Linked DNA regions of Saccharomyces cerevisiae S288C. The protein of the gene in region 1 binds, or shares a complex with, the protein of each later gene. Each region holds a gene or a part of one and is shown on either strand. Other genes may lie near its edges.

Region 1 (3,358 bases):
GACATTAGATTGAACACGTAGTCATTTTGAAACGGTACTGATTTTTGCCCCCAAATGGGACGAGTTTCCCATATTTCTGTAAGAGAGAAAGTCGTCATAAAATCATGGTGCCCATCAACGAGACATTTTAAACAGGTGATTATAGGTAAATCAGCATCCTTTGGTAGGTCCACTGTGTTCGGAAGAAAAAGTTCAACATGCATTTGATAGAGCCATCTTATATAGCAGCGTTTATGAATTTGTAAGTTGCAACCGCACGTGTGCTGTAGCCATGTAGAGTCATATGTGGATTCTTCCAAACATATCCAGCATATGCATCTTTTTTTTATGAGAGATAAAAAAAAATGAGGTGGGGTCATATAAAACTTGGACTATTTCCTTGGAATTTTCTTGTTTGTAAAATCAGAGCAGAGCTCTTTTATTTACTTTTGTTTTTGACGATGGGGACGAGCGATGTACTCACATCTTCGATATCACTTGCCTGAAAATATATAAATGCGTTAAACGATAGAAAATCAAAAACATCGTTCTTTTCACTAGAATATTTTAAAGTCAAAACATAACACTTTACTATTTACGTAACGAAGTCTTGTAGTTGTATATATTTACAGAGTGTAGTGCTTTAGTTGAGAAAATATGACACTCGGCTTTCCTCTTTCTTTTATTTACTGGCTTGGTTGTTGCATATCCATCATGACGTGCTTTCTTAACAAATTTTTTTTGATGTTTTTTTTCAAGGTCAAAGGATCCTCAACACCATGATCCTTCAAAAATTGATCACATTTTAGATCATTCGACAACAATTCGGATAATCGCGTTTGAATACGATCAATGAGACTTCTTTGTTTCTCCAAATTAACCTCCAATCCAGAGATGTCTAACTGTAAAAGTTGCCTCACTGTTTCTTGTGAAAAATCTTGAATGCCGTACCTTTGTTTAATCTCCAATAACTCTTTCGGCGTTGACCCGCTAGATAAAGCATCTTGGATGGTCCTAATATCACGTAAAAGGGTTGTTTTTTCATTTAGTTTATTCTCCCTCACTGATCTTTTATCCAAAAATTCTTTTGCCTTTTGGGCTTCTTCTTTTGCAACGCTTAACTGAGCTTCTGATTCGTATAATGCAAATTGTTGACCCTTGTTTCTAATAATTTCTGCAATGGCAAAAAACTTCCTCTTTGAAAGCGGCCTCGTCGCTTCTATCCTTACTAAATCACCCTCCCTTGATATTTCACCTTCATCATGCACTAAATAATCTCTTCTATGAAATAACTCCTTGTTGATTTTCTTATTAAAGACTTTTGTTTCTACACGTACTTTAACCGTCTTTTGCATCTTCCCTTGGGAGACGACCAAGCCTAAAAAATTTTGGCGAGCCATTACAGTTTAACTGATCTTGATTTGACTTTTGAAATCTCTAACCCGAATTCAACTCCCTGAGTTTACTTCTGTTTGGCCTTATTTGTGGATTTCCTCTAACAGTTTGATGCTCGCATTGGTTTGGCACAATCCCAAATTGCTTCAGAATTCTAATCTTATGAAATAACAATCATGTTACCCGGTTGAATCGTTACCCGACATCTCTGACTCTTCTTGAGGTATAGACTCCTCCTTTTCGGAGTCATGACTCTCAGAGGAGTCATCGAAGTCAGCATTGAGCTGTGAAGGACCTTGATAAGCTAGTCGAAAGATCTCCAACGAATATAAATGGATGTATATATAGCAGGCTCGAGTGGCACAATTTTCTTCTCTTCAAGTTCCAGTGAATTAGTCTTTCTCGTGTGTACCAATCTTACTGTATTGATTGCTGCGCGATCTAACCATCAACTAACCACAGTTTATTGGAAAAACGTTTCCTAATACCAGGAAGATAACATGCTTAGGACAAGAGTGACTGCTCTCCTTTGTAGGGCTACTGTCAGGTCAAGCACCAATTATGTTTCATTAGCGAGGACTAGATCATTCCATTCTCAATCTATTTTGCTCAAAACAGCCGCTACAGACATAACGTCTACACAGTACAGCAGGATTTTCAATCCTGACTTGAAAAACATTGATAGACCGCTAGATACTTTTGCTAGACGTCATTTAGGTCCTTCTCCTAGCGACGTTAAGAAAATGTTAAAAACAATGGGTTATAGCGATTTAAACGCATTTATAGAAGAGCTCGTTCCTCCCAATATTTTGAAGAGAAGACCCTTGAAACTAGAAGCTCCTAGTAAGGGATTCTGTGAACAAGAAATGCTTCAACATCTAGAAAAGATTGCCAATAAGAACCACTATAAAGTTAAAAATTTCATAGGTAAGGGTTACTACGGTACGATTTTACCACCGGTTATACAAAGAAACCTGCTAGAAAGTCCAGAATGGTATACTTCTTATACGCCCTATCAACCCGAAATTTCTCAAGGTAGGCTAGAAGCGCTATTAAACTTTCAAACGGTTGTTTCAGATTTGACTGGTTTGCCTGTGGCGAACGCCTCATTGTTGGATGAGGGTACAGCGGCTGGAGAAGCTATGCTCTTGTCATTCAATATTTCCAGAAAAAAGAAACTAAAATACGTAATAGATAAAAAATTACACCAGCAAACAAAGAGTGTCCTTCACACCAGAGCCAAGCCGTTCAATATTGAAATTATTGAAGTTGACTGTTCGGATATCAAGAAAGCTGTGGATGTTTTAAAGAACCCCGACGTATCTGGTTGTTTGGTTCAATATCCAGCGACAGATGGTTCAATCTTACCGCCTGACTCGATGAAACAGTTATCTGATGCGTTACACTCTCACAAGTCTTTGCTCTCTGTGGCCTCAGATTTAATGGCTTTGACACTTCTAAAACCACCTGCTCATTACGGTGCTGATATCGTCCTGGGTTCCTCTCAACGATTTGGTGTCCCAATGGGTTATGGTGGTCCTCATGCTGCTTTTTTCGCTGTTATTGATAAATTAAACAGAAAAATTCCAGGTAGAATTGTCGGTATCTCTAAAGACCGCTTAGGCAAGACGGCCTTGCGGTTGGCCCTCCAAACAAGAGAACAACATATCAAGCGTGATAAGGCAACTTCAAATATATGTACCGCTCAAGCTTTACTGGCTAATGTTGCTTCGAGCTACTGTGTTTATCACGGTCCTAAGGGCCTACAGAATATTTCCAGGAGGATATTTAGCTTAACATCAATATTGGCAAATGCCATCGAAAATGACAGTTGCCCTCACGAACTAATTAATAAAACATGGTTTGATACTTTGACTATAAAGTTAGGTAATGGCATATCCTCCGAGCAGTTATTGGACAAGGCCTTGAAAGAATTTAATATCAATTTGTTTGCCGTGGACACCACCACTATTTCCTTGGCTCT
Region 2 (2,676 bases), on another chromosome or scaffold:
GGTCAAAAAGGGCACAAACTTCTTCACCTTCAGCGATCTGGGTCCCACTGAAGAAACACGCTTGAAATGGGAATACAAGAAGAACTATGAGCTGGCCACCAGGACGGAATTGACCGAAGCACAAAAGTTGCAGATCATTAGCGTCGCAGAAGGCATTTTTGATTGGAACTTCAACATCGTTGCAGAAATTGGAGAGTTGAATCGTCGCGAGTTAATGGGCAAGTTCAGCTTCAAGTGTATTACGTACTTGTACGAAGAATGGATGTTCAACAAGGATTCTGCTACTAGAAGAGCACTCCACACGGTCATGCTGCTGGTGCTTTCTATTATCGCGATCTGGGTTCTTTACTTCTTGGTAAAGAGTTTTCTTAGCATAGTATAACGTATAAAAAAAAAAGTCTAAATACAAACATAATATATACATGAAATAATATCAAAATATGAAGAATAGGGAAGGAAAAACAGCAGAGAAAAACATGTGAGAGGTTTTTACAGCCCTATTATCTACCCTGAGATAGCTTTCTTCTTTCTGCCTTCTCCCTCTTTCTTCTTTTCCGCAGTTTGTGTTTCTTCATCTTTTTTTTCCTCTTTCTCATCACTGAATCGAGTTGCATCACTATATTTGAACCGTTTAATGGCTCACTGACTGTGCCAGTGATCCTTGTTGCCGTAGCCGTCATCATCATCATTGTACTCAGCATGCCCTCTTGCATGGGAGGCATTGTAGTGTTAATTGCTGTTTGAAAGGTTCTGTTAAAGTAGGACCCGCAACTTGGTTTCTTAACCACCGTCCTAGTAATGCCCAGCCACCCAGGTCGCAATGCCCTTCCTAGCATGTTTATCTCGTTCTGGTGTCGTGTGTGCTCGTCTTGGCTGGAACTCAACCGCCTTTCGCTCTTGATATTATATTTGGCATTCACTTAAGTGTGCAGTATGGGGAAAGGGCTCTTTTTATCATGCGCTACGAAAAAGCGGCTCGAAGAAAATAATCCAAAGGAGTCTGACAAGAGACAATAGTAGATATTTGGTCAACTACTAAGGGCGGGCCTTTGGTTGTAGTTTTTTTACACTTTATAAGCGCAGAACACTGTAGATATTGCGAAGGTGGACTTAAAGTAGTTTGGCAAACTTGTACTTCCAGAACTATGACCGTGCTATATGCTCCTTCGGGTGCTACTCAGCTATATTTCCATCTGCTAAGGAAGTCGCCACACAACAGGCTAGTTGTCTCTCACCAAACACGTCGTCACCTCATGGGGTTCGTTAGGAACGCCCTTGGATTGGATCCTCCTCCCTCTCCAGAAGATCCTACTCCGGAGAACAGATTCCATCCATGGGATCAGTCTCCCTCAGTGGACTTGCGTGAAAGGGCCGCCAAGATTAGAACGCTAGCACACTGCCCTGTTACCGGCAAAGATATTAACTACACTTGTCCTCTGTCAGGAATTCCGACTCATCACTCACGAGAGGCTTGGGAGATGGATAAAGCATATCACGATTCTAAAAAATATGAAATCCTGAAAAAAGTTAATATTTATGAGCATGACTTAAGAAGCGGTAGACCCTTCCCGGAGTTTGATTTTCCCCAACAGCAAGGCTACGACAAGGCCGTTAACCTAACAAACTGGGATTTGTTTTTCTACACAAGATCATTCTATTCCATGGATACAGAGTTCCAATTAGCCGCAGTCACAAAGATGCTAAGCTATCCAATTACGATTGGGTCTTTGCTGCACAAATTTTCCCCGTATTCATTGAACCCAAAGGGGCCTATCACCTTAGAAGGTCTAAAATCTCTGGCTGCTCTCAGGTATACTTTATATCCGTTGGAGAATAGATCTTTACCAACCACAACTAAGAACCGTGCTATGAGAATTTTCATCCTAGGTGCACGTGCTGAAGCTCAATTGCCGGGCCACGTTTGGAAACAGCTCCAGTTTCTTTTCCCAGAGCAGAGTTTCGAAATACATTTCATTGGACCCGAATGCCTGTATAAAAGGGATAAACAGGAGTACGTCAAGTCTACTACGCCGGTAGTACAAAGAGTAGACGAGACTCTGAAATTCATTTATCGTACAAACTTTTTCGAAGTATTCCATGAGGCTCAAGATTTTTTCCCATACGATCCATACATGGATGTCTTTTTTACTTTCCATCCAGGCTACGCATCTCCAGAATCTCACGGTTCATGGATGGGTGAAACTATGAAGGCATTACTGGAAACAAAATGTGCTATCTTCACAACGGGTTTCAATAAGAAAGACCTAACGGACGACATAAATCTTGTCAAATCCAAATACGGTAAGGAAATGGATGTCTTAATGGAGCCCGTCAGAAACGTATTTGGAAGTACGAAGTGGGAATTAAATGACATGAATCCTCAAGAAGTTTATCAATTTAACATGTATATTGCCGGGTTCAGAGGTAAAAGGTACCATACAATCAAGAGACAATGATTATCGGGAGGCCATGCCCAACTTTCATCTTATAAATATATGCGTTTTCTACCGTTATTATAATTTTTTTCTTATGTATGATATCTCAATATCTGTAAATACAAAAATACTAACCCCACCCCCTTCGTAATGGTTGACCTAATAGTCCATTAACTAATCCATTCACCTATACAGTAGTATACTGACTACAGTTGCCATGACATATCCTTTCCTTTTCGGA

The links.
Region 2: MRPS17 (region 1) and QRI5 share a complex: the UniProt entries of both Saccharomyces cerevisiae proteins name them as parts of the mitochondrial small ribosomal subunit.

Annotation. Positions count from the first base shown.
Region 1 is NC_001145.3:635,626-638,983, forward strand, and holds MRPS17 (mitochondrial 37S ribosomal protein uS17m MRPS17), read right to left. Parts: upstream 1,380-3,358; coding exon 666-1,379; downstream 1-665. Other genes in the region: YMR187C (uncharacterized protein), read right to left, coding at 1-359; GCV2 (glycine decarboxylase subunit P), read left to right, coding at 1,875-3,358. UniProt on the Saccharomyces cerevisiae protein: Component of the mitochondrial ribosome (mitoribosome), a dedicated translation machinery responsible for the synthesis of mitochondrial genome-encoded proteins, including at least some of the essential transmembrane subunits of the mitochondrial respiratory chain.
Region 2 is NC_001144.5:550,430-553,105, reverse strand, and holds QRI5 (mitochondrial 37S ribosomal protein mS38 QRI5), read right to left. Parts: upstream 837-2,676; coding exon 501-836; downstream 1-500. Other genes in the region: HMX1 (Hmx1p), read left to right, coding at 1-382; MSS51 (Mss51p), read left to right, coding at 1,146-2,456. UniProt on the Saccharomyces cerevisiae protein: Component of the mitochondrial ribosome (mitoribosome), a dedicated translation machinery responsible for the synthesis of mitochondrial genome-encoded proteins, including at least some of the essential transmembrane subunits of the mitochondrial respiratory chain.